Saccharomyces cerevisiae S288C: one gene and its partners. The gene in region 1 interacts genetically with each later gene. Each region holds a gene or a part of one and is shown in the gene's direction. Other genes may lie near its edges.

Evidence for each region.
Region 2: mutations in HAL9 (region 1) and PUT2 together harm fitness more than expected from each alone (negative genetic interaction), as found in Saccharomyces cerevisiae (2 studies listed by BioGRID).
Region 3: mutations in HAL9 (region 1) and MDV1 together harm fitness more than expected from each alone (negative genetic interaction), as found in Saccharomyces cerevisiae (2 studies listed by BioGRID).
Region 4: mutations in HAL9 (region 1) and PSR1 together harm fitness more than expected from each alone (negative genetic interaction), as found in Saccharomyces cerevisiae (2 studies listed by BioGRID).

Annotation. Positions count from the first base shown.
Region 1 is NC_001147.6:149,898-155,335, reverse strand, and holds HAL9 (Hal9p), read left to right. Parts: upstream 1-1,845; coding exon 1,846-4,938; downstream 4,939-5,438. Other genes in the region: DUF1 (Duf1p), read left to right, coding at 1-49; protein disulfide isomerase MPD2, read left to right, coding at 591-1,424; mismatch repair ATPase MSH2, read right to left, coding at 5,060-5,438. UniProt on the Saccharomyces cerevisiae protein: Putative transcription factor involved in halotolerance.
Region 2 is NC_001140.6:177,967-185,919, forward strand, and holds PUT2 (1-pyrroline-5-carboxylate dehydrogenase), read left to right. Parts: upstream 1-4,010; coding exon 4,011-5,738; downstream 5,739-7,953. Other genes in the region: PIH1 (Pih1p), read right to left, coding at 1-33; GTPase-activating protein NEL1, read left to right, coding at 253-2,145; BRL1 (Brl1p), read left to right, coding at 2,379-3,794; RRF1 (Rrf1p), read left to right, coding at 6,100-6,792; MSC7 (meiotic recombination directing protein), read right to left, coding at 6,909-7,953.
Region 3 is NC_001142.9:201,751-210,032, forward strand, and holds MDV1 (Mdv1p), read left to right. Parts: upstream 1-3,554; coding exon 3,555-5,699; downstream 5,700-8,282. Other genes in the region: chaperonin-containing T-complex subunit CCT7, read left to right, coding at 6,127-7,779; GZF3 (Gzf3p), read right to left, coding at 8,172-8,282. UniProt on the Saccharomyces cerevisiae protein: Involved in mitochondrial fission. Has a partially redundant function to CAF4 in acting as an adapter protein, binding to FIS1 on the mitochondrial outer membrane and recruiting the dynamin-like GTPase DNM1 to form mitochondrial fission complexes.
Region 4 is NC_001144.5:127,266-134,919, reverse strand, and holds PSR1 (phosphatase), read left to right. Parts: upstream 1-4,306; coding exon 4,307-5,590; downstream 5,591-7,654. Other genes in the region: LMO1 (Lmo1p), read left to right, coding at 1-618; DRS1 (putative ATP-dependent RNA helicase), read right to left, coding at 933-3,191; copper metallochaperone COX17, read left to right, coding at 3,506-3,715; rRNA-processing protein SOF1, read right to left, coding at 5,928-7,397. UniProt on the Saccharomyces cerevisiae protein: Has phosphatase activity in vitro. Involved in the response to sodium and lithium ion stress (but not to potassium or sorbitol stress) by inducing transcription of the sodium pump ENA1/PMR2.

The DNA of each region.
Region 1 (5,438 bases):
ACATAATTCACCGCTAGTTCATGAGGTCAACGGGAATGAGGGGAAATGATAATGTTTATTTAAATTATATTTTGGGGTCTGAATTTGGAGTTTTTAAGCGTAAATATATAGTAACAATACCAACAATAATACTAATAATACTATAATAGTAGTTGCAGTAACAATGACAAGATAAAGAATATTCTTCTGAAATGTCTAAAGAACGAAGAAAAAAGCAAGTACTCATTGGAATGCTATGTGTAACAACTCATACATACTCTAGAGCTTTATAATAATTACATAGACATTTTTATAATATTATTTATTTATCAAATTTTATATTGAATAGGTACCATCAAGTTATGCACACATTCTTCATTAAAATACAGTCTGTAAATAATTGTGAATATGGGCGACCTGAATGATGTTCTTATTATCTCAAATATTTCTAATTTTTTTTAATCATTTTTGTTTCTTTAAGAGCAATTAATTTACAGAGCGGGGAACAGTGGCCAATTTTTTGAGCTAAAGAACAGCATAACAACAAAACAACAGAAAAAAAACACAGCGAGTCTAGTGCAAGTACGTCGGCAAAGTAAAACACAAAGGAGATGAAATTGCACGGCTTTTTATTTTCCGTATTATCAACATGCGTCGTCATTTTACCAGCGTTGGCCTACAGTGAAGCTGTCACGATGGTCAAGTCGATTGAGCAGTACTTCGATATCTGCAATAGGAATGATTCTTACACAATGATAAAATACTACACTTCTTGGTGCCAACATTGTAAAACTCTGGCCCCAGTATACGAAGAGCTTGGTGAGCTATACGCCAAAAAAGCTAATAAAGATGATACCCCAATTAACTTCCTTGAAGTTAACTGTGAATTCTTCGGGCCAACTTTATGTACCGACTTGCCTGGATTTCCAATAATTGAACTGGTCAAACCTCGTACTAAGCCCTTAGTTCTTCCGAAGCTCGATTGGTCGTCTATGAAATTTCATGAAAGACTATGGCAAAGAATCAAGACGTGGTTCAACAATCCTAAGTACCAACTGGATACGTCTAGGGTTGTTCGTTTTGAAGGGAGTAGGAACCTAAAGAGTTTAAGCAACTTTATCGATACTGTAAGAAGTAAAGATACAGAAGAAAGATTCATAGAACATATTTTCGATGATTCTAGGAATTGCAATGAAGAATTACGTTCTCAACAGCTTCTGTGTAAAGCTGGTAAAGAATACTACTCTGATACTTTATCTAAATTATACGGTGACGTGAATGGGCTGGAAAAGGAAAGGCGAAGACTAGAAGCTTTAATTAAGCAAAATGGAGATGACTTGAGTAAAGAAGTTAAAGAAAAACTGAAAATCATTCGTCTACAATTGAGCCTATTATCACACATAGAAGACCAGTTAGAAGATACCAGTAGTCATGACGAGCTTTGAACATAAGCTTCGCTCTGTCTTTTACTTTACGAATACCGACTACAGACGGAAGCGGGACCCTCACCCTGAGGTACAACAAATACACAGATACATATATATTTAACAATGTACGTTAGCCGCAATATAAGTGAGATTGTGTAGGTGAAAGATTATGGAGATATACATAAATATTACAGAAGGTCTACCACATGTGTTTTGAATATTGGCTTGTGCTAAGGTAACACTGTTATTTTATTCATTAGAGAAACATCTCTTACCCTGTTTGGTTTTGGTATAATCTCCAATTACGTACATGAAAGATGGCTTTATATAAAAAGCCTTTAATTCGAAAAAAGAATAAATGTCTTAGGGAGCTTATTATCGTACTTTAATTCAACTTAGGAAATCAGCACTCTCCACTCCAAATCTTCGGTTTGAAATAATGGAAAATCAAGGTGGAGATTACAGCCCAAATGGGTTTTCAAACTCAGCAAGCAATATGAATGCGGTTTTTAACAATGAAATCACCGGTAGAAGTGACATTTCAAATGTAAACCATCAAACTGGTACCCCACGTCTGGTTCCTGAAACTCAAATATGGTCGATGCCTGTGCCAGATCAACTGATGACGATGCCTAACAGAGAAAACACCCTTATGACAGGTAGTACAATAGGTCCAAATATCCCCATGAATGTGGCTTATCCCAATACAATATACTCGCCAACAGAGCATCAGTCGCAATTTCAGACACAACAGAACCGTGACATCAGCACGATGATGGAACACACTAACAGTAATGATATGAGCGGCTCTGGTAAAAATCTCAAGAAACGTGTATCAAAGGCCTGTGACCATTGCCGAAAAAGAAAAATCAGATGTGATGAAGTGGACCAGCAGACCAAAAAATGTTCAAACTGTATTAAGTTTCAGTTGCCTTGCACTTTCAAACATCGTGATGAGATTCTTAAGAAGAAAAGAAAATTAGAAATCAAACATCATGCAACACCAGGGGAATCACTTCAAACCTCAAATAGTATTAGCAATCCTGTAGCGTCTTCTTCAGTACCGAACAGTGGAAGGTTTGAACTTTTAAACGGTAATTCCCCCTTAGAAAGCAATATCATCGATAAAGTCTCCAATATTCAAAATAATCTTAACAAAAAAATGAATTCAAAGATTGAAAAATTGGATAGAAAAATGTCTTACATTATTGACAGTGTGGCTAGACTTGAGTGGTTATTGGACAAGGCTGTTAAAAAGCAGGAAGGCAAATACAAGGAAAAGAACAATTTGCCCAAACCAGCGAGAAAAATATACTCTACGGCACTTTTAACTGCTCAAAAACTCTATTGGTTCAAACAAAGTTTAGGAGTGAAAGCGTCCAATGAGGAGTTTCTTTCTCCAATCAGCGAAATATTAAGCATATCTTTAAAATGGTATGCAACTCAAATGAAAAAATTTATGGATTTGTCATCTCCGGCTTTCTTCTCCAGCGAAATAATATTATACTCATTACCTCCGAAAAAGCAAGCAAAGAGACTTCTTGAGAATTTTCATGCTACCTTATTATCCTCTGTAACTGGTATAATATCGTTAAAAGAATGTCTAGACTTAGCAGAAAAGTACTACAGCGAAAGCGGCGAAAAACTCACATATCCTGAACATTTATTATTAAACGTGTGTCTCTGCTCGGGTGCATCTGCCACTCAATCAATTATAAGAGGTGATTCAAAGTTTCTAAGGAAAGATAGATATGATCCAACCTCCCAAGAGTTAAAAAAAATCGAAAACGTTGCCTTACTAAATGCCATGTATTATTATCATAAGCTGTCCACCATCTGTTCAGGTACAAGAACACTACAAGCTTTATTACTACTGAACCGATATTTTCAACTTACCTACGATACTGAACTAGCAAATTGTATTTTAGGAACCGCGATTAGATTGGCGGTTGACATGGAATTAAATAGAAAATCCTCTTACAAGTCACTAGACTTTGAAGAAGCCATAAGGAGAAGAAGAATGTGGTGGCATTGTTTTTGTACAGATAAACTATATTCTTTAATGTTATCCAGACCCCCTATTGTGGGGGAACGCGATATGGATATGCTAACAGATCAAAATTATTATGAAGTGATAAAAACTAATATTCTACCTGATCTTATTGATAAAAAGGAAGATCTCGATAAAATTACTGATGTCAACTCTGCATTGAATGTAGTTGTAAATTTTTGTCAGCACATATCCCTTTTCATATCATATTATGTTTCAAAATTGGTTAGTATTGAGAGTAAAATATACTCTACTTGTTTTGCTGTCAGAAGTACTCTAGATCTTTCATTCGATGCCATGCTTGATAAAATCAAAGATCTCAATGATTCTTTGAACAATTGGAGAGACAACTTGCACGTAAGTATGAAACTAAAAAGTTATAAACAGTATTTATCGGTACTTTACGCTCAAAAATCCCAAGAAAATCCGGCTTTAAGTTTTGAGATTGCATGCTCTCGTGTTTTGAATTGTCATTTTAGGGCGCTATATTCTAAAGTGATTTTGAGCATGATGACTACATCCTTATTGATTGATAACGAACGCCTATACAAAGGTTCTCGCCATGATATTCCTCAGCTATTCATTCTTTTTTCAAGTCAATACTTAAACGCCAGTAAAGAAATGTTACAGCTGTTTCAAGGCATCAATTACCAGGCGCATATGTATAACGAGGTTATGTATCAGTTCTCTACTGCTATGTTTGTTCTCTTCTTTTACGTTGTGGATAATATGAACGATCTAAAAAAGAAAGGTGAGGTAAAAGAGATCATCGATATCCTAAAAAAATCTTATGATCGATTAGTGGGAGAAAATGATGAGCAGTTACTGTTTGACAATGTCAAATGGAACACTTTGATTGTGTTCTACAGCCACTTTTTGAAATACGTTTTGCAACGTTATCATGCTTTGAACGATTCTACGTCAATATTTGATTCTAAACCTTATGATGAAACGATAACGAAAGTTATTATGCATTCAAGAAAGATAAAAGATGAAACAGTCGATCAACTAATTATGAGTCTAAAATCATATGGTTCTCTCCATTCTTTACAAAAGGGCAACGAAGCCGATCTCGCCGATGATGGACTGAATACGAATGATATTTCTTCAGAAGACTTTGCGGAGGAAGCACCAATAAACTTATTTGGAGAGTTATCAGTCGAAATTTTAAAACTATTAAAATCTCACTCCCCCATCTCAAATTTTGGAGACCTATCGCCATCTTCAAATAGGAAAGGAATATCTGATGACTCATCTTTGTACCCAATTCGTTCGGACCTAACATCTCTTGTTTATCCCATCCATAGTTCTGATACCGGAGATACTCTTTCCAGTGGTCTAGAGACCCCTGAAAATTCTAATTTTAATAGTGACAGTGGAATAAAGGAAGATTTCGAAGCTTTTAGAGCCTTATTGCCTTTAGGAAAATTGATCTATGACAGAGATTATTCTTTCGTGAACACTTTTAGGGATTATGAATAAACTGTACCTTGTCTACAAAGATTGTAAAAAATAAAAATTCTTTCCCAATGCATATTATATGTACTATTTGTATCTATATATTATCTATCGATTCTCACTTAAGATGTCGTTGTAATATTAATTATAACAACAAGGCTTTTATATATTTCAGGTAATTATCGTTTTCCTTTTCTGGTTCATTTGCTATAGCACGCAATAGCTCTTGTATTTTATGCTGGGAAGCTTCTTCAGTAATTTTGCTTGGGTCATGTAAACCCTCCTCCTTCACTTTTCTAATCCACTCTTTCAGTAAAGCCTTCAAACGAATATTACCTTCGTTAACTTCCTGTAATGATAGCTTAGCTTTTTTCAAATCTTCATTATTAGTTTTTAGATCGTCCAATTCATTGGCTTTACGTTTAGCCATTTTAACAATTTTTTCTGGAAATTGAACAACTTCTGCAACATGAATACCAAAAGACTGATCTGAAATACCAGGCTCAACTTTGTATAACAACGTG
Region 2 (7,953 bases), on another chromosome or scaffold:
TTGCTTAATTGGTCTCAATAAGAAATCGGCCATCGGTTAAGGTCTGTTTGTTCGCTTTGAAAAGTCTGTTCCCTGTATTCCTTTTTCTTCCATGCATATGAATTCAAGAATTCCTAGTTTTTTTCTATCATTATTGTCTTCTGATTTTTTTTAAGGAAAAAAAATATCAAGAGTAAAAATAGTGATCAGGTACTGAATCCTGTATTTGTACAATACTGCAATCTAGCACCAAATTTGGCCAAGGAAGTGCCTATGTGTTCTCCAACTAATTTCTTATATGAGCCCTTTTCCAGCGATGCTGTGACGCAGAACTATGACCAAAATCTAAAATGCACCAAATGTGGCGCCTATTATTCGATGGCTTGTTCCCTACGAGAACAGAATGTTTGGACTTGTCTATTCTGCAACCAATCAAACTCAAATGCTGAATTGCCACTGGTACCTTCCAACACCTATACATTGACTTCTGCAAAGAAAGAAATACTTTCAAGACGGACCATTATGATTATAGACGCTATTTGCGATCCTCATGAGCTAAATTATTTAGTTTCCATTCTATGTAATAATTACATCACAAGACAACAAGAGCCACTATCAATAATTACTATTCAGCAATCAGGTCATGTGATTTTACACAATGCTGTGAATCACAGACGTGATGCTGTATTTTCAATAAATGAATTTATGACCAAATATAATCTTGATAAATTAAATGCCAGTTACTTCGAGAAAAAAATTTCAGAAATCAATCAAGAATCATACTGGTTTGATAAATCTACTCAGGGTTCTTTAAGAAAATTGCTACGGGAAATATGCAAGATTGCAAACAAAGTGAATATCAGTTCTAAAAGGGACAAGCGTTGCACCGGATTAGCGCTGTTCGTTTCATCCGTACTGGCGTCTCAGTGCAGTTTGTCAGCCTACTGTCATATAGTTTCATTCCTGAATGGTCCATGTACTAAGGGTGGCGGCAAAGTTATGTCAAGAGAACGTGGTGAAAGCATGAGACAAAACCACCATTTTGAATCCAAAAGTTCACAATTGCAACTATCAAAAAGTCCGACAAAATTTTACAAGAAAATGCTTGAAAAATTTGCAAACCAATCGTTAATCTATGAATTCTTTATAGCTTCATTGGATCAAATCGGTATACTCGAAATGAGTCCATTAATAACTTCGTCAATGGCAGTTTCTCAGTTTGATTCATTCAATGATGAGAGATTCGCAATGTCTTTTCAAAAGTACCTGAACTTGCGTGACCATAATGCCATTTACAATTGTCATTCAAAGATAATGACCGCAAAGAACGCTATTGTCGTTAAGGACTTCCCAAAATATAGCTTAAACCCTAAAAACCTTTCTCTACCATTAGAAATCTCACTAGGTCACAATTCAGCTGAAGCTCCTATACAGTTTCAAACCACTTTTGAAAATCAAACGGAAAAATACATAAGAATTGAAACCCTCTTATTGCCAAAAGCCAATAGATCATTTGGGGCACAAAATGAAATTGTGTTTTCAATGAAAAAGATAGCCTCACGAATTATCGATAGCTTTGCTTACTCATCCAAGCACACTAAAGAATTGATGAAGCAATTGTTTCTATTACCAAATCAAATCCGGGGAAAAGACGTAGATATGGTCAATCTGATACAGTGGTGTTATCATATATATAGGTCTCCAATTCTATCGGTTCGGAATACTTCACCTGATGAAAGGTACCTTTTTCTTCACCGAATAATAAACGCTTCTAAAGACACATGCCTTTCATTATGCAAACCCTTCATCTGGAGTTACAGTGATTTGAAACACGACTGGATCGTGTTGGATGTCCCATTAACAAGAGCCCAGATACTTCAAGATGATAAAACCACCATTTGTGTAGATGGTGGCTCGTACTTAGTTTTAAGAAGGGGAAAACTTTTGGAAAAAGAAGGTCGCGAGCTCTGTTGCAAGCTTTTAAATGACTTGCAAAGGTTTCCGCAGCCATTATATGTTGAAACTAAAACCGGTGGCAGTCAGGACCGTTTCTTGAAAAGCAAAATTATTCCCTTGGACATCACTGACAAGGAAACTCTTGGTACAGAGGATATGACATTCAATGAATATTTCAACTTGTTCACCGATCTAAGTGGAAGCAAATAACTCGCTAAATATTCTTGCTGCACTTTGCGACGCCTGTATTGGCGAAAACAAAAAGTAAAGAAAAAAAAACTTTAGATGAAATAGAGCAAAATTCCCTAAGACAATAGAAGATACAAAAGCAAGTTGGGCCCTTAATTTCATCAAAGGTATAGCATCTCATCAAATAGTCGCTTGTTTATCGCAATACTTGCTTATTGAGTAGTTGTATTATAACGTTATATAGGATCTTCCATATGGAAAGTTTTGAAAATTTGAGCATAAGAGACAGTTTCACTAGCGGAATGGAACACGTTGACGAGGAGTTAGGAGGCCTCTCCGACCTAAGTATATCTAAGCAGGGGCCAACTTTGTCACCACAGCTTATCAACCGATTTATGCCCCATTTTCCCTCGAGCCCATCACCTCTGCGAAATACATTGGATTTTAGTGCTGCTAAAGCTGATGAGGAAGAAGATGACCGAATGGAAATAGATGAGGTTGATGATACAAGTTTTGAAGAAGAATATAATAACGAGCCAATCGAAACTCATACTGAAGCGACTGAGAATGCCGTGGTGGAAGAAATCGAGGCTACCCCAGAAGAAAGACAAAAGCAAGAGAAGAATGAAAGCCAAGACCAAAGTGTAGAAGAGGTCGAGAACATTGTTTCACCGCATCGTTCAACTGTCATAAAGGCATTATTATCACCGACCGATTTAGGTGTGGCCGCAGCTACTAAAGTTGAAGGTGTTGTGCCATTACCACCATCGGCCAATCAAGATGACAATGAAAGTTCGAATAACAACGCAGAGGGTGAAGACATAATCAGAAATGAAGAAGTCGAAGATGAGATCAAATCATCACTTGGCAACCACAAGTCAAGCCAGTACGCAAATGCGTTCGATTCGGAAATAATCAAGAGGGAATTAAGATCAAGATCAAAATATCAACCAATTCAGGTTTCATTCAATACACACAACTACTTCTATTCAGATAAGGACGGCATTAAAACTTATTCTCTTACTAAACCAAATCACAATAAAATAGATGAATTTTACGACCAAAATGAAGCTTTCAAGTTGCCTAAACCATGGTCACCCAATTCACATCCGGCATCAAGAGCGTCATATGCCCTAATGTCATATTTACAGTTATTTCTCAATGCGATCACTACAGTAGTGATTTTTAGTTTTATACTCTCATTTATCATAGCGCTTCAAAAGGACTTGAAATCCACATGGGAACAAAGAAAACATGAACTGCAGTACGAATCCAGAATTTGTCAAGAGCAGTACCTCACAAATCGTTGTAACCAGACGCCTGGCTTGCCGGCTCTGGGCGAACAATGTGCTATATGGAAACAGTGTATGGACAGAAATAACGATATCTTTTTCCGTGCAAGATCAACGTTGAGCGCAAAATTGTTCGGAGACATTATCAACTCATTCATAGATCCATTAAACTGGAAAACACTATTTGTTATTTTTTGTGGTGTGATAACTTGGTGTTTCAGTTCGAATTTCTTACTGGGTTTTGTAAGAGCCAAGAGCTACTATGGCAATGGCATCAAAACATATCCCTTGCCATCTTCACCGAAATCGCCGACATCAGAAGAAACACACTCATCTATGACAGCATCTGGAGAGGACTCACACCTACTTAAGCAATAGATTGTGCTATCTGGGACAGTAACAATGCTTATCTACGCCATCGGACATCTCGGGAAGCCAACTCCGAAGCCGACAAAAATTGGATAGGCCTACTATATAAGGGTGACAGGACAGCTGACTTTACTCCAGAAGTATATCCATGGAAAATATGTAATAATACAAACAAGTTAATATAATCTATATTGTATAGAAGGCCAATTCAAATTCACAGGAATTATGCTATCAGCAAGGTGCCTCAAATCTATATACTTCAAGAGATCTTTCTCACAACTGGGACACATCAAGCCCCCCAAGCACATAAGAAATGAACCTGTTAAGCCATTTAGAAACATAGACTTAAAAGACTGGGACTTACTGAGGGCTTCCTTGATGAAATTCAAAAGTTCTTCTTTAGAAGTGCCACTGGTCATCAATGGGGAAAGGATATATGACAATAATGAAAGAGCGCTTTTCCCGCAGACTAACCCTGCGAACCATCAACAAGTACTGGCAAACGTCACACAAGCCACGGAAAAAGATGTCATGAATGCTGTAAAAGCCGCCAAGGATGCCAAAAAGGATTGGTACAATCTACCGTTTTATGACAGATCTGCAATTTTTTTGAAAGCCGCTGACTTAATTTCCACCAAGTATCGTTATGACATGTTAGCTGCTACAATGCTGGGCCAGGGAAAAAATGTGTATCAGGCAGAAATCGACTGTATCACGGAATTATCTGACTTTTTTAGATACTATGTCAAGTATGCATCAGACTTGTATGCTCAACAACCCGTAGAGTCAGCGGATGGTACTTGGAATAAAGCTGAATACAGACCTTTAGAGGGATTTGTGTATGCTGTTTCACCATTCAACTTTACTGCTATTGCTGCAAACTTGATTGGGGCTCCAGCTTTGATGGGTAATACAGTTGTCTGGAAACCTTCACAAACCGCTGCCCTTTCAAATTACTTATTGATGACTGTTTTGGAAGAAGCGGGATTGCCAAAGGGTGTCATAAATTTCATTCCAGGTGATCCAGTTCAAGTTACTGACCAGGTATTAGCTGATAAAGATTTTGGTGCCTTGCATTTTACCGGTTCTACAAATGTCTTTAAGAGTTTGTATGGCAAAATACAAAGTGGCGTTGTTGAAGGGAAGTACAGAGATTACCCCCGTATTATTGGTGAGACAGGTGGTAAAAATTTCCATCTAGTTCACCCAAGTGCAAATATATCACATGCAGTACTCTCTACTATTAGAGGCACTTTCGAGTTCCAAGGCCAAAAGTGCTCTGCCGCTTCCAGGTTATATCTTCCAGAGTCAAAAAGTGAAGAATTCTTATCCGATATGTTTGGCATATTGCAGTCACAGAATGTTGTCCCAATGAACACATCCGCAAGTCCAATTTCTGGTGGGAATTTGCGGGGATTTATGGGTCCTGTCATCCATGAACAAAGTTTCGACAAATTAGTTAAAGTAATTGAAGATGCAAAGAAAGACCCCGAGTTGGAAATTCTTTACGGTGGACAATACGATAAAAGCCAAGGTTGGTTTGTCGGACCCACAGTCATAAAAGCCAAGAGACCAGATCATCCATATATGTCAACAGAATTTTTTGGCCCTATATTAACTGTTTACGAGTATCCAGATACTGAATTTAATGAAATCTGTGATATTATCGATAATACGAGTCAATACGCCTTAACTGGTGCTATTTTTGCCAAAGATCGTAAAGCAATTGAATACGCAGATGAGAAGTTGAAGTTTAGCGCAGGAAATTTCTACATAAATGATAAGTGTACTGGTGCCGTTGTTTCTCAGCAATGGTTTGGTGGCGCAAGAATGAGTGGTACCGACGATAAGGCTGGTGGTCCAAACATTTTAAGCAGATTTGTCAGTATTAGAAACACAAAGGAGAACTTCTACGAGTTGACTGATTTCAAATATCCATCGAATTATGAATAAAAAAATTTTTGTGGAATAGAACCGCGAATGCAGTCACTTCATCCATCAACTCATGTAAATGTTAGATTATCGAAAAAAGGGTTTTGATTACTTCATTAGGTTTTTTTAGTTTTACAATTTTAATTTATCTAGGTAAATAGTTTAAAAATATTCATTGAACCAACCGTCCAAATTCCCGTTCTATATTCTGTCATGACTTACTTATTCACGTTGCTATTTATTCGCCGCATATTCATTCTGTTTTTGGCATAAGGACCCGTCCGGAAACAGAACATCAATTTATTAAATACGTCCATTCGTAAGCTTAAAGATGGAAACTTTGGCGAGCAGTCCCTGACAAGAAAAATAACAGCAAGAAATAATGATTTTAACCACAGCTAGATTAAATTGTAGACCAGTCACCGTTCCTCGTCTATTTAATCGTTCTTTTAGTCAATCTTTCATAATTTTGAAGAAAAAAAGTTCTACCCCTACTGAGAAAGTCGAAGAAGATGAAATTGACGTGAATGAACTGCTGAAAAAGGCAGAAACTCAATTCAAAAAAACTTTAGAAATTCAAAAACAGAAAATGAATGAGATAAAACAGGGAAATTTTAATCCTAAGGTATTCAATAGTTTAGTGTTCAAAAATAACAGAAAGTTTACAGATATTGCTACCACATCCTTGAAAGGTAAAAATGCACTTTTAATAACAGTTTTCGACCCCAAAGATGTGAAAACTGTGATCAGTGGGGTGCTTGCTGCGAACCTGAATTTAACTCCTGAAAGGGTCCCAAATAACGATTTGCAATTGAAAGTTTCGTTACCACCACCAACTACAGAATCCCGGTTAAAAGTAGCTAAAGACTTAAAGAGAGTATTTGAAGAATATAAGCAGTCATCGCTAAAAGACTCATTAGGAACTATCAGAGGCAGTATTCTAAAGGAATTCAAAAGTTTCAAAAAGGATGATGCCGTTCGAAAAGCTGAGAGGGATTTGGAAAAACTGCATAAGGATTACGTGAACAAGCTTCATGACCAATTCCAGAAAGTTGAAAAAAGCATTGTAAAATGAGGAATTTCGTAACGTGTATAGAATCAAAAAATCATAAATCTTGTACATAAAAAGTTCATTTTATATAATAATAAATACCAAATTATTGATAAGTTTGTTGCTTCCTCTAAAGTAAACTAGCTGGCTTCTTTAGCTAAAGAGAACAGTGACTTTATTCTTTGCCATGTGGAATTTGTATAAGCTCCTACGATGAAACTCTTTACAAAATTCCAAGCCTTAGCATTGTTACGAATAGGGTAGTCTAATGGTTTTGGAATTTGAGTGGAGACAAAAGGCAAAGTATCAAAACAGACACTTTTGGCATTGCACAAACCCAAAAGACCTTCTTCACCACCAAATTTACCGTAACCTGAACCATTGATACCACCAAATGGTAATTGACAAACATAGAATGTAGCAAAATCATTAATGGCTACATTACCAGTTTGTAGGCTATTTGCGACGTAATTGCATTCCTTGATATCCGCACCAAACACAGAACCACCTAGACCAAATGGCGCAGAGTTGGCTAGTTGTACACAATGGTCAGTATTCTTAGCTTTCATCATGACTAAAATTGGGCCAAACACTTCGTTTTGTGCTATTTTCATTTCTGGAGTGACATCCACCAAAAGAGTTGGTTGGAAATAATGACCTTGTGGATACTTTGGATGTTTGAAGCGGGAACCACCTTGAAGTAAACGAGCTCCCTTTGCAACAGCATCTTTAACCAAAGCTTCTAGTTCATCGAATCTGTTGTCAGATATCATTGCCCCCATATCAACATTTTCTAAATGATCAATATCAGACCCTTGGCGTAGTGGATTTGCAGTCATACGGTCATTCAAAATCTTGACTAAATCATCATAATTTTCCTTACTGACAATAACCCTCTCAATACCAATACAATTTTGACCGGATGATTGGAAAGTACCCCTCATGATGATAGAAGATAAAGCATCTAAATTCTTAGCTGAGTCTAGGACAATAAACGCATCCTTACCACCAAGCTCCACAACTACGGGTGTCAATGATTTGGCAGCGCATTTTAGAATATAGTGCGCTACGGGCTGACTGCCAATAAAAGTGATATGTTTGAAACCAGGATGAGAGGTGAAATAATTTGCGGAATCATCATTTTCAGTTGGAGGTAAACAATAGCACAACTGAACCAAATCTGGA
Region 3 (8,282 bases), on another chromosome or scaffold:
AATCCTGACCTCAAAGAAAAACATGAATACAAACAGGCATATCATAAAGAATTACAGAATTTAAAAGATATGAAGGTATTTGATGTCGATGTGAAGTACAGTAGATCAGAAATCCCTGATAATTTAATAGTACCCACCAACACGATATTCACAAAGAAAAGAAATGGGATTTATAAGGCTAGGATAGTCTGCAGAGGTGATACTCAGTCACCAGACACTTACAGTGTAATAACTACAGAATCTTTAAATCACAATCATATTAAGATATTCTTAATGATTGCAAACAACAGAAATATGTTTATGAAGACCCTGGATATCAATCATGCATTCCTATATGCTAAATTGGAAGAAGAAATATACATCCCACATCCGCATGATAGGAGATGTGTAGTCAAGCTAAATAAGGCGTTATATGGTCTAAAACAGAGTCCTAAAGAATGGAATGATCATCTAAGACAATACTTGAATGGAATTGGACTGAAAGATAACTCTTATACTCCGGGATTATACCAAACCGAGGATAAAAATCTAATGATTGCAGTCTATGTTGATGACTGCGTAATTGCGGCAAGCAATGAACAGAGATTGGATGAATTCATAAACAAATTGAAAAGTAATTTTGAACTGAAAATTACAGGAACATTAATAGACGATGTACTCGATACAGATATATTAGGAATGGATCTAGTATACAACAAAAGACTTGGTACTATCGATTTAACATTAAAATCATTCATAAATAGAATGGATAAAAAATACAACGAGGAATTGAAAAAGATTAGAAAAAGTTCAATTCCGCATATGTCAACTTATAAAATAGATCCTAAGAAAGACGTACTGCAAATGTCAGAAGAAGAGTTTAGACAAGGTGTTCTAAAGCTACAACAATTACTAGGTGAACTAAACTATGTCAGACACAAATGCAGATACGACATTGAATTTGCTGTTAAGAAAGTGGCTAGACTAGTAAATTACCCACATGAAAGAGTCTTTTATATGATTTACAAAATAATCCAGTACTTGGTTCGGTATAAAGATATTGGAATACACTATGACCGAGACTGTAATAAAGACAAAAAGGTTATTGCTATAACTGATGCATCAGTTGGATCAGAATATGATGCTCAATCAAGGATTGGAGTTATATTATGGTACGGTATGAATATTTTTAATGTTTATTCTAACAAGAGCACAAACAGATGTGTATCATCAACAGAAGCAGAGCTTCATGCCATTTATGAAGGCTATGCAGACTCAGAAACGTTGAAGGTAACATTAAAGGAGCTAGGAGAAGGAGACAATAATGACATTGTCATGATCACTGACTCAAAGCCAGCCATTCAAGGATTAAATCGCAGCTATCAACAACCAAAAGAGAAATTCACTTGGATAAAAACTGAAATAATAAAAGAAAAAATTAAAGAGAAGAGTATAAAACTGTTAAAAATTACCGGCAAAGGTAATATTGCTGATTTACTAACAAAACCAGTATCAGCATCTGATTTTAAAAGATTTATACAAGTATTAAAAAATAAAATAACATCACAGGATATTTTGGCCTCAACAGACTATTGATAATTAATTAATGAAGTTCTAAACACACAATGAATATCTGTTGAAGTACAATAATATATCTTTAAGGGAGCATGTTGGAACGAGAGTAATTAATAGTGACATGAGTTGCTATGGTAACAATCTAATGCTTACATCGTATATTAATGTACAACTCGTATACGTTTAAGTGTGATTGCGCCTATTGCAGAAGGAATGTTAAACGAGAAGCTCAGACAATACTGAAGCTGTGTTAAAGACCTATTAGTTGAACATGTTATGGTAGGTACATATATGAGGAATATGAGTCGTCACATCAATGTATAGTAACTACCGGAATCACTATTATATTGGTCATAATTAATATGACCAATCGGCGTGTGTTTTATATACCTCTCTTATTTAGTATAAGAAGATCAGTACTCACTTCTTCATTAATACTAATTTTTAACCTCTAATTATCAACATATCAATATATTATTGAAGATTGGGTGAATTTTGAGATAATTGTTGGGATTCCATTTTTAATAAGGCAATAATATTAGGTATGTAGATATACTAGAAGTTCTCCTCCAGGATTTAGGAATCCATAAAAGGAAATCTGCAATTCTACACAATTCTATAAATATTATTATCATCATTTTATATGTTAATATTCATTGATCCTATTACATTATCAATCCTTGCGTTTCAGCTTCCACTAATTTAGATGACTATTTCTCATCATTTGCGTCATCTTCTAACACCGTATATGATAATATACTAGTAACGTAAATACTAGTTAGTAGATGATAGTTGATTTTTATTCCAACAATTATCATATACGGTGTTAAGATGATGACATAAGTTATGAGAAGCTGTCATCGAAGTTAGAGGAAGCTGAAGTGCAAGGATTGATAATGTAATAGGATAATGAAACATATAAAACGGAATGAGGAATAATCGTAATATTAGTATGTAGAAATATAGATTCCATTTTGAGGATTCCTATATCCTCGAGGAGAACTTCTAGTATATTCTGTATACCTAATATTATACCCTCTATCAACAACAGGATTCCAACAATTATTTCAAAATCCACCCATATCTCAGATTTCACATCAGTATTGATTAAAATATTAATTGCTACCAGTTCTAATAAATCTAATGTTTACATCATATAGTAATATATCTTTTGAGAAATGTGACTGGCGTTATACAGAAACCGAATTACACGTTTTAAATACTAATTATTAAAATTTATCCTGATAAGTTGATCTTTATTTCCGTACAGCACAACCGATAGAGGAGATGTTTAAAGTGTTTAAGCTCACTTTATAGGGTGAAACACATTTTGACGACCGTAAAAGGTCATTTGATTTGGTATTGAGGTCGAGAAAATATTTTCAAATAGTGAAGGATACATTAAACACGCTCACAAAACAACATAAAAATCCGTGATAGTTTAATGGTCAGAATGGGCGCTTGTCGCGTGCCAGATCGGGGTTCAATTCCCCGTCGCGGAGATTTTTTTTGGCCCTTGATGACTGTTCTGGTACAATTTCCACCTTGAATGAGGGTATAAGATACCGATGATATATATTCAGACTATTTCTACGACACAGAAAAACAATCGACCAAGCCGTCCTTGAACATGCTGCAGAACTTCCTTTTTTTTATTTTTTTTGGCTCATCTACGTAATCCTATTATCTTTTATTAAATTTTGAAGCTATGAGTTTCTTTCCAGCGACTTGGAACCAATAGTTGACAGTGAGTGCATACTTGAGTATTTTCCCCCTACATTGTACAGTCCTCCTCAGACCTGGTATCCCTGTTTAATGTGGTCGCTCATCGGACTTTTCCGTCCGATAGGAATTCGCTCAACTTTGACAGGCGGAACTACTTTCACATCGATTTTCTCAGGAAAGACGGCGTAAACAAGAGAAGAAATTAACTTTCTACAGAAAGTACAACCATATAAACCCTTCGTAGAGCTCCAATTAGTAGCAAATAATGACAAATAATGTCAGTGAACGACCAAATAACTCATATAGGAAAAACATTGTCCACAACGGCTTCCGCTTTTTTAAACTACCAAAAATCGAACAGCAACACTCAAGATGTACTGACCAATAATGGGCCTTATAAGAATTTATTATCAAATACCGTCAACAATGCGAGCTCAACTTCATACTTTTACAAGAGGACTGAACACGGTCGCTTTGTAAAAAATGCATCTAACACTTTTGAGGATATTTACTCCAAGACAAGAAGGGGCGATGTATTCAGGAACAAGTTCACAGACAACAAAACATGCTTCAGAATGCTCACGTACATAAGTGATGATTTGTTGAACGAGATCCCAACTAAGGAAGGTCTCAAAAGTGATGCAGATGGCAAGCTTCTAACCGAAGGAGGCGAAAATGAAAATCTCAGGAAGAACGCATCCAAAAAAGAAACATCGCTGTTTCAGGGCTTTAAAAGCTACCTACCAATAGCGGAGCTTGCCATTGAAAACACTGAAAGATTAAACTATGATACAAATGGTACAAGCGGTACGGTTGGTGCGAAAGATGTTATGTCTAAAACAAATGAGCGAGATGAAATTCACACAGAGCTTCCTAACTTCCAAGATTCATTTCTCATACCGCCTGGGGTAGAAACTAAAAAAATAAGCTCCTCTTATTCTCCTAGTGCATTAAAAAGTTTTTCTCAAACTCTTGTAAATAGTTTAGAGTTTTTAAATATTCAGAAAAATTCTACGTTATCCGAAATAAGAGACATTGAAGTTGAAGTTGAGAATCTGAGACAAAAGAAAGAGAAACTGTTGGGTAAAATTGCGAACATAGAGCAAAATCAATTACTATTGGAAGACAACCTCAAACAGATTGATGATAGGTTGGACTTTTTAGAAGAGTACGGATTGGAGGTGATCGAAGCTAATAGCGACGAAAATGCAGAAGATGATGGTATGAGTGAGCGAAAGGCCCTTAAAAATGATGCTATAAGAAATGAGGGTGTCACCACAGAGAGCATATCATCAGAGGCTTCTAATCTACCTCCAAGGAGAAGGCAACAACTTCGAGACGATAACTCATTGAATAGATTAGGTGCCTTTTATAGCAAATCCAAAAAAAGACACAGAAAAAGCTTCCCAACATTCCAGCAGCTTTACGAGCCAGGAACAAAAATTGGCTCTATAATGTCCACTCACGATGATTTCCTCACTTGCCTAGATTTTGATGCGCCCTTTGGTACCTTATGTACAGCCGGATATCTTGATCACACGGTAAAAATTTGGGATTTATCCAAACAAAACAAAATTGGAGAACTAGCAGGACATCTTGCTACAATTAATTGTATGCAAATCAATCGTGACTACGGAACTCTTGTTACTGGTGGTAGAGATGCGGCTTTAAAATTATGGAATTTGAATTTAGCTCAACAACTTTACCAGGAAACGCAAAATCTTACCTCTCCTACAAATCATATTGATTCTCCATGTGTTCATACATTTGAGGCGCATACAGATGAGGTTACTGCATTATCATTAGATCCTAGTTTCTTGGTGAGTGGTTCACAGGATAGAACAATTAGGCAATGGGACTTACGTTCCGGGAAGTGCTTGCAAACCATTGATCTGAGCTTTGCAAATGTCTTAACAACATCCACTAATGTCGATTTATCAAAGAGCACACTTCTTACTCAAAGAAATGAGAGGCCTAGTATAGGTGCACTACAAAGTTTTGATGCAGCGCTAGCAACGGGTACAAAAGATGGTGTTGTAAGGCTATGGGATTTAAGATCCGGAAAGGTGATTCGTACTTTGAAAGGGCATACAGATGCCATAACGTCATTAAAATTTGATTCCGCGTGCCTGGTCACAGGTTCATACGACAGAACAGTTAGAATCTGGGACTTAAGAACTGGGTTGTTGAATAAGTTTCATGCGTACAGTGCGCCAGTTCTTTCGTTAGATCTCTTCCAAGAGAACGCTGCAGTCGTTGTCGCAGACGAACCAAGTGTCCAGATATACGATAGCGAAAAGGATGAAAGCTGGTCTTGCGTCGAACAAGGTAACGAGACTAGCGTTAGTACCGTTAAGTATAAAGAAAATTACATGGTTGAGGGTCGTGAAAATGGGGACGTAAATATTTGGGCCGTATGATAGGCATTGCATTGCAATCAAGTCAACCCATTTGAAGAAAAATAAATATCGAGTGCATATGTGAATAGCTGCTCGCTCAGATATATATAAATAAATATTCGTTCTGGAATGTAAATAAAGTATCGTCAATACCTTGGATGGTTTATCAGCGAAATCGGTGCTGTAGATGTTGCCCTGTCATATTACTACAGATGTCTTGGAAGCAATCACCATACCTGCATTATCCTTACCCGGAAAAAGAAAACTTTCGTGAATAATGATTAATATTTAAGTGGCGACTTTTTCATCCTTGCTATTGAAAAAAAAAAAAATGAATAATTGTTATTAAGCGTTAGCAGATGCCAAATTGTCGAAATGATTTCAAATACAGAGAATTAGCCGCAAATATTAAGTAGTACCTGAATCACGAGACATACAACTCGGAAAAATGAACTTTGGAAGCCAAACACCTACAATTGTGGTTCTAAAAGAGGGAACAGACGCATCTCAAGGTAAAGGTCAAATCATCTCTAATATCAATGCCTGTGTTGCAGTCCAAGAGGCATTGAAACCAACTTTAGGTCCCTTAGGTTCTGATATTTTAATTGTGACATCGAATCAAAAGACTACTATTTCTAACGATGGTGCCACGATCCTAAAATTATTAGATGTAGTACATCCTGCTGCCAAAACTTTAGTGGATATTTCTAGAGCTCAGGATGCCGAGGTGGGTGATGGTACAACTAGTGTAACCATTTTAGCTGGTGAGTTAATGAAAGAAGCCAAGCCCTTTTTGGAAGAAGGCATTTCATCTCATTTGATTATGAAGGGCTACAGAAAGGCCGTTTCTTTAGCTGTGGAGAAGATTAACGAATTAGCTGTGGATATTACTTCAGAGAAAAGCAGTGGCAGAGAATTACTTGAACGCTGTGCTAGAACTGCAATGTCGTCGAAATTGATTCATAATAATGCAGATTTTTTTGTTAAAATGTGTGTTGACGCCGTGCTATCCCTTGATAGAAACGATTTGGATGACAAATTAATAGGTATTAAAAAAATTCCAGGTGGTGCTATGGAAGAATCTCTTTTCATCAACGGTGTCGCCTTTAAGAAGACATTTTCGTATGCTGGATTTGAACAGCAACCCAAAAAGTTCAACAATCCTAAAATTTTAAGTTTGAATGTAGAACTGGAGTTGAAAGCAGAGAAAGACAATGCTGAAGTACGTGTAGAACATGTTGAAGATTACCAAGCTATTGTAGATGCGGAGTGGCAATTAATCTTTGAAAAGCTAAGACAAGTGGAAGAAACAGGTGCCAATATTGTACTATCAAAGTTACCTATCGGCGATTTGGCTACTCAATTTTTTGCTGATAGAAATATTTTCTGCGCTGGTAGAGTGAGCGCAGATGATATGAATCGTGTCATCCAAGCTGTTGGAGGCTCTATACAATCTACTACTTCAGATATAAAACCAGAGCATTTGGGTACTTGTGCTTTGTTTGAGGAAATGCAAATCGGGTCAGAACGCTACAATTTATTCCAAGGTTGCCCACAAGCTAAAACATGTACATTATTATTAAGAGGAGGTGCTGAGCAAGTTATTGCCGAGGTTGAGAGATCATTGCACGATGCAATCATGATAGTTAAGAGAGCGTTACAAAATAAACTGATCGTTGCTGGTGGTGGTGCTACAGAAATGGAAGTATCAAAATGCTTGAGAGATTATTCAAAAACCATAGCTGGTAAGCAACAAATGATAATCAATGCCTTCGCTAAGGCTTTAGAAGTTATTCCAAGGCAACTCTGTGAAAATGCTGGGTTTGATGCTATAGAAATATTAAACAAACTAAGATTGGCTCACAGCAAAGGTGAGAAATGGTATGGTGTTGTCTTTGAAACAGAAAATATTGGCGATAATTTTGCCAAATTCGTATGGGAACCTGCTTTAGTAAAAATCAATGCTTTGAACAGTGCCACAGAGGCTACTAACTTGATTTTATCTGTTGACGAGACGATCACTAATAAAGGTAGTGAAAGTGCCAATGCTGGCATGATGCCTCCCCAAGGGGCTGGAAGAGGGAGAGGTATGCCAATGTAATTAACACTCTAAAAAACATGTGCTGCATACATTTTATTATTACTCTTTTTGCAGTAGTTATTTGCATCAAAGGTAATTTCTTTCAATCATAAATAAGTTAATACTGTATTGATAAAACCTTATTCTTTTCTTTTGTATACTCTGTATCTTAAAGTAATTCTAGGTCTAAAGAAAAATGAAAGAAGTAATGAAAACTCCGAGAAACAAATCATATCATTGGTCGTCATCCGGGTTGGATGTCATGCAGCTGCATTCCATTTCTTCGGCAAAATGTACGTAATATTCGATTAGAACCCTGTTTTGCAACTGATTATGCTACTATGTATTTATATATGCATACATATGATGATATTATATTTGAAAAATGATGCTGATTTTTTTGAAAAAAAGATCTATCCTCCTTTATTCCCTTCTTGTTTTACTGTCCTTTGCAAACGTTCCTCAAGAGCTCGACATTTCCCGTCTAATTCATTGATATGTCTCCTATATAAATCTGTAACAAG
Region 4 (7,654 bases), on another chromosome or scaffold:
GGAACGTGGGTTTACGCAGAGAACCCACTGAATCCTGAAGCTGGCACGCCTAAAGTCTACTTCCTCATAGTTTCAGATAACCACGCAAATTTATTAGCCAGAGAATTCGAAACACAAACAAACGATTTACCTTATCTATTCGACAATAAAATTTTAACAAGTCCAGGTTCTGAGGCATTAGCTAATGGCAGAACAAAAGTTGTTGTTTTGAAACATATAACCTCTTTCAAAAGCATAGAACTTACTACACCGAGTCGTCGGACGAGCAGTAATGTTTACATCAAATTAGATGAAGCCAATGTGTACACTGGAGTTGAATTAAAAGATCGTAACGACAGGACAGTTTTGAAATTTTATTTAGACACAGAAGAGGGAAGATATATATGGCTAGACGGATTGAAATTGATATCTCCATTCCAGCATGAAGATATATCAGAAGACACGAAAGAACAAATAGACACTTTATTTGATTTGAGGAAAAATGTTCAGATGATAAATTTGAACGTTCGTCAGGACATCATAGTGCCTCCACCTGAACCAAGCGACGAGGACGAAGATGAAGAATTTTATAACTTGGAAACGTTAAAGAAAGTAACCCAAAATTTTTATTTTGATTAAGATACAAATTTGTCGTCAGACGATTTTTTTTTATTTATAACTTTTTTTTACTAGAATGGAATGTAATTTTGTAATTCTTTCCCGCAAGTAGCTTGAGTCTCCATTCAGTTCGTTTGTACTTGAAAAATCCTTTTAATATAGCATATAGCTTGCAGTTTATTAATACTCACTTCTACAGATTCAACAAAAAAAAAGGAATTTTTGACTAATCCCCTGTTTATTAGATGAATTAATGATATTTAAATACAAAGTATTAATAATATAATGACAGTGATAAGTATGTTGATATTTTATGATAATGACGATGAAAATTATTACCTACGGCTTTTGAAGCCCTTCTTCTTATTTGAATTTGTACTCTTCTGCTTTTTAAAAGTTCTTTCTTGATCTGCAATACGGTCGGTTTTGGTTTTTCTATAAGAACGTGCACCATTGCCATCTGCCTTAGCTTCTTCACGCTTTCTCTTTTTGCTGTTAGTGACTTTCTTGTTCCTTGATAAAGCACCTAATACTTTGGAATTTTTCTTATCTGATTCGCTTTGGAACCATGTCCTTCTTGGTCTTGCCTGGATTTCCTTTTTATGCTTCAACATATTTTCACCCTTTCTTAATTGCATTTCAGCCCTTAATATTTCCTTCTCCTCCTTTTCTTCCACCAGAATATCTTCAATCGTATCGTTCATGGATTCAACAAGTTTGTTTGTTTCTTCGATTTGAACCCAGTCTACGTTTCTACCAAGTGCTTTACCTTGAGTTAGGGACTTATTTTCTTCTACACTCTTTATAGCAGCACGTACAATACTTCTATCTTGAGATGATTCACCGACGAAGGTGACGGAACGACCTTCCCTACCAGCTCTGGCGGTACGACCAACTCTATGCAGGTAGATCTCATAACTCTTGGGCATATCGTAGTTGATAACAACCTCAATCTTGGGGATATCAAGACCTCTGGAGGCCAAATCCGTACAGATAAGTACAGGAACTTCCAAATTTTTGAATTTATTAACGGAATCTAAACGCTGTTCTTGGGTTAAAGAACCGTGTAATTCACCCACACTCATACCTAAAAGACCCATGATAATCCTTAACCTATGAGCAGTTTCTTTTCTAGCCACAAAAACGACAATCCTCTTTTGACCCGTTGGATCCAATTTCCTAATCAAATTAAATAACAAGGCAGGCTTCAAATGGTCTCTTTTACGAATACGAACGAATTCTTGTGTCAACTTAGTAGCAGCTTTCTTTGGAGGATCAATCATAATCCTTACTGGTTTTTTTAGAGAAAGACTAACTAAACTTTTAATTTTGGAGTTCATTGTAGCAGAAAACAATAGGTTCTGTCTATTGCTTGGTAATAGGCCCATAATTTCGTTCAGTTCATCTTGAAAACCTTCTTCTAACATTCTATCGGCTTCATCCATAACCAGAATCTCTACTGAGTCCACATTAAAACTTGCTGAGTTCCTGATATGATCAATGAATCTACCTGGGGTAGCAATGACGATGTCCGGACGAGATTTCAACATTTGTTCTTGTTGTCTCAAGTTCAAACCACCAACGGCCAGACCAAAGGTTATACCGGAGACGAAACGTGCAATTTGTTTACCAACGTCAGCGACTTGGATAGCTAACTCACGAGTGGGCAATAGAACAATAACTCTGGTGGAAGCGATTTTGGCTGGTTTATACAACAAACGCTCGATTATGGGAATCATAAACGCAGCAGTCTTACCGGAACCAGTCACAGCACCGGCAATGATGTCTTTACCCAATAAGGCAATGGGGATTGTGGCGCTTTGAATAGGGGAAGGCTTGACGTAACCCAAACTTGCAAGGCCCTTAAGAACCGGACGAGATAAAGACAAACTGTTGAAATTTTCGTACATTTGCTTTTTAGCTTCATCTCCCTCAGTTTCAGGCGCATAGAAATCGGCTTTTGCCTCTTCAGAATCGTCTTCTTCATCTATTTCGTCATCTTTGCCGCCTTTTTCTAACGTCATCTCTTCTTGTTCCTCCTCTTCCTCCTCTTCCTCTTCCTTTTCCTCCTCTTCTTCTTCTTCTTCTGACTGATTTTCGTCTCCATTGTTCATGGGAGCTCCCATACCGAACCCGTCCATTGCTAATTCCTCATCGTCGCTATCGTTTTCTTTTTCTACTTTTTCTTTCTCGGTTTCTTCTTCTTGTTTACTATCAATATGGGCCATTTTCACCAGCCCACCTTTTCTTCTAATAATCTTATCCAAGTCAACGTCCTTCTTCACAAAAGCTTCGGCATCGTCCTTATTGGACTCGCCCTCTGCTAGAAAGTTCCAGCCTTGGAAGTTCGAAGTGGTATCATCGGCGTCCAAATCAAACTTAAACCCCGCGTCCAAGTCCTCATGAACATCCTCATCGAGGTTATCCCCCTCACTAACCTTTTTCTTGTTATTCTTACCCTTCCGCTTCTTCGTAGTCTTCTTAGCCTCGACTTTTTCGTCATCAGAAGAATCTAGAATTGGAACATCGTCTTCACTGTCACTGATTGTAGGGACAAAGTCCAAATTAGAGTATTTTTTAGTTCCTACCACCATAGTATATATATAAGACGCTGTTGTAGGCACACAGCTCCAATTCGAAACCCAAGTTACCAACGTAAATACTCATACTATCTAAGCATATTCTAACTTACAATTTTCAACCTCATCTCATCGCATTTTTTGAAAATTTTTTTTCAAATCATTACCCGGATAATGTTATAACCCTACCTATCTCCTTCAAAAAAAGATAAAATGACGATATATAGCGGCGAATCAGAATCTAGTAACCACCTAACTACTTGTCTCTAGTACAACTAAACAAAATTTTAGTGTACACAATCAGATAACTACACAATCAATTATACCCAATGACTGAAACTGACAAGAAACAAGAACAAGAAAACCACGCGGAGTGCGAGGACAAACCTAAGCCATGTTGCGTTTGTAAGCCAGAAAAGGAGGAGCGGGATACATGCATCTTATTCAATGGACAAGACTCTGAAAAATGCAAGGAATTCATTGAAAAGTACAAAGAGTGCATGAAGGGTTATGGCTTCGAAGTTCCAAGTGCAAATTAGTCTTACTGACAGTCTGCCGACAACCATTTCTTGTATATATAAGAATAGGTATTCACAAACTATAGTATATACTACCTGTAAATATGTGCGATGCACAATTAACATTACCTCATCACTACTACACCACTTCTACTGCTAGCACTGTCCTCTTGTGCTTGGCCCCTTAAGAGTGTTCTAAGACCACGTGACCAGAAAAGGACGTATCACGTGACACAAACCTAATAACTTTTTTAGGAAACCCTAAGTCAGGGCACGCTTGCTTTGTTTCTTTTTTTTCTGGAAAGAACGGAAAAAAAAAAAAGTCTGGGATTAGTTAGTGTATATTAAGTGAAAAAGTATAGAAATAGGTGTCGAGAAGAAGTGCTCGTTGAACCATACTGCTCACAATACTCTTTCATTGAACTCTTTATTACGTTGTCGTCAAGTACAACTCCTTCCTTTATCGCCTGCCTAGCCTATAGTCTGCTCTCTTCGTGTCATTCCTTATAGCATAATCAATCGCACTTCCCCTTTCATTGTGCGTTTATCCAAGCTTTTTATTTGCCTACATTCGTGTTCGTAAGCTTTAACAACAATAAGTAGCAAAACAGTATGGGTTTCATATCGTCAATACTGTGCTGCTCTTCCGAGACGACACAATCCAATTCCAATTCTGCTTATCGCCAACAACAGAGCAGTTCTCTCAATAAAAACAGAAGCGTTAAACATTCCAACACGAAAAGCCGAACCCGTGGCGTACATCAGACAAACTCTCCTCCTTCTAAGACAAATTCAGCCGCTACTTTCAGTTCCACTGAACGATCCACCGGTAAATCTGGGATAAGCACGAACGATAATGAAAAAAAGAAGCCATCGTCGCCGACTGCAGCCGTCACCGCCACTACTACTAATAATATGACAAAAGTAGAGAAGCGAATTAGTAAAGATGATCTTTACGAGGAAAAATACGAGGTTGACGAAGATGAAGAGATCGACGATGAAGATAACCGTCGCAGTCGTGGCATTGTACAGGAAAAAGGAGATGCTGTGAAAGATACTTCCAGGCAGAAAAAACAACAGCAGCAACAACAACAACAGTCACAACCACAACCACAACCCCAGTCACAGTCACAGTCACAGTCGCAGTCGCAGTCGCAGCAGCGAGGGCCTACTGTACAAGTATCGTCTGACCATCTTATCCAAGATATGAATTTGAGTAGGGTAAGTAGCAGCTCTCAAGCCAGTGAAACTTCCAACGATGCCGACGACGAAGACGATGAAGATGAAGAATATATTGATCTAACGCTTTTGCAGCAGGGCCAGTATCATGCACCAGGTTACAACACTCTGCTCCCCCCACAAGATGAAAGTACAAAGGGCAAGAAATGCCTAATACTGGACCTGGATGAAACCTTGGTACACTCTTCTTTCAAATACTTACGATCTGCGGATTTTGTTTTGTCTGTGGAAATAGATGACCAAGTACACAATGTCTATGTCATTAAAAGACCTGGTGTGGAAGAATTTTTGGAAAGAGTCGGAAAATTATTCGAGGTTGTAGTCTTCACGGCTAGTGTCTCTCGATACGGTGATCCTTTGCTTGATATATTAGACACAGATAAAGTCATTCATCACAGATTATTCAGAGAGGCTTGCTATAACTATGAAGGAAACTATATAAAAAACTTATCCCAGATTGGAAGGCCGTTATCAGATATCATCATTCTCGATAACTCTCCGGCATCTTATATTTTTCATCCCCAACATGCAATACCGATTTCGTCCTGGTTCTCAGATACTCATGATAACGAATTATTAGATATTATTCCTCTTTTAGAAGACCTTTCTGTGAAAACCTCACTGGATGTGGGCAAAATTTTGGATGTAACAATATAATGAGCACTTTCGCCCGAATTTCTTGTGGCCCCCGCTACCAAAGAATGAAGATGAAGAAGATGAAGAAAAGAACCAGAGAACAAAAAGTTTTTTCTTTTTTTTTCTTTTTTTTTTTGGCTCAACACACTGTACCCATGCTGTCCCTTGACATTTTTTTTTTCAACTTCTTCTACCATTACGACACAATGTATTCATATATAAATTCATAATCTAATAAAATGGTAATTTTAATTTAACGGGACTGGCGTGAACATTTATCAAATACATGTGAATTAAAAATTAAAAAAATGCAAATATTGTACATATGTGTATATACAGACAACATAAAACAGAATAACTACTTTTCTTGAGTATCACGTTTGTCATCTTCCTTTCTTCTTTTCCTATCTCTTCCTGAATCTTCATATTTGTGCACGGTACCAACGATTTGTTTCTTCCTTTCGGAAATGTATGGCATATCCTTTCTAGTACGCCTTTCATTAGCTTCTCTTCTCTTAATAGAACTCAACTCAATGTTCTTAATTTCCTGAGCCTTTTTGATGACTTGTGGCACGTGTCTATGTCTACTGATTCTTTTGATCTCCGGCATATGTCTAAATCTTTCTTTTAATTTTTCGTCATATTCTAATTTATTCTTTTCACGAGTAGTTTTGACATTAGACCTCTCCCAAGCTTTACTTCTCCATAGCCTAACATTCCCATCATCAGATCCACTGATAATATATTTAGAATCCATGGAATATTTAACCTGGAAAACATGCTGCATTCTCTTCGTATGATAAATTTCTCTCGAATGTCCGTGATTCGTCTTATATATTCTGATACTCTTATCGTACGAACCAGTAACAATCTCATCCCCCGTAGGAGAAAAGTCAACATCCATTACTGCGCTGACGTGATCTTTGAATACATTCAATGAACGTGATAAATTCCTCATATCATAATAGTAGGCGTTATGATCTTCATTGGCAGTTACAAAGTTGAAGGCCTCCATTGGATTCCAGCAAATAGCATTCGTCCTCATTGTTTGAACAATCTTTTGTGTGGGGGAGTTGGTTCTCAAGTCGTAAAGAACAATAGAATTATCACTACCAGTACTGGCCAAGATATCTGTTTCATTTTGATTGAATTTTAAACTAGTAATGTTGTCTGCTCCCCATGATAGATCGGAAACTGGCTTCAATCTGTTAACGTCCCAAAGATGGATCTTGGCCCCACCTGTGGCAAACGTGGAGTTTTCTCTGTGCGAATCGATACCTTGAAATGCAGATTCACCGTCAAAAGTACGAATCAAACCTTCCTCGTTAGTAACGGAGTCGTTATCACTGGAGTTTTTATTGGAGTAATCATCAACATTTATTGACCATAGCTTGACAGTTTTGTCATCACTGCAAGATAACATAAAATTTTGGCTCTTCAAATCTGGCTTCTTGTCATGAAAACGAGGCTGTGTCACACAAAGACCAGTAACGAGTCCATAATGCGCCTTAAAGGAAACAAATTCTTCTCTAGTAGACATGTTCCAGTATTTAATCACACCATCTGCAGAACCAGTAGCCAATTTATTCAGACTACCATAATTTTTGGCAATAGCATAAACACCATCTCTATGACCGTATCCTAACTGACCCACAAAGGGTTTAGCAAACATTCTTTCCAATTTGGTGGCATTCAAAGCTTTAGTATATTCACGTGCCCTTTCAAAAGGATGCAATTCAGGGTTCAAATTCCTGGGCATTTGAGATTCCTGCGTACTTTTAACAGGGACATAGTCATCAGCACTTCTTTTAATGGTCTTAATCTTCATTTTAACGCCTTATCTTCGCGAGTCAAACTACGTTAATGAAATGCGGTTGCTTTATACAACTGTAATGTAATTCAAACTCATCGATTTTTTTTCAATATCAAATTTTTCAAAAAAATGTATCGTTATGCACGGTGATGTCCCAACTCCCGACAATTTGTGACACAATACTTCAAAAAAAAAGAACAATTAAAAACTAAAAATTTACTAGCCCTCTATCTATGTATTCCCAAGTATAATTTATATTAACCTATATATCA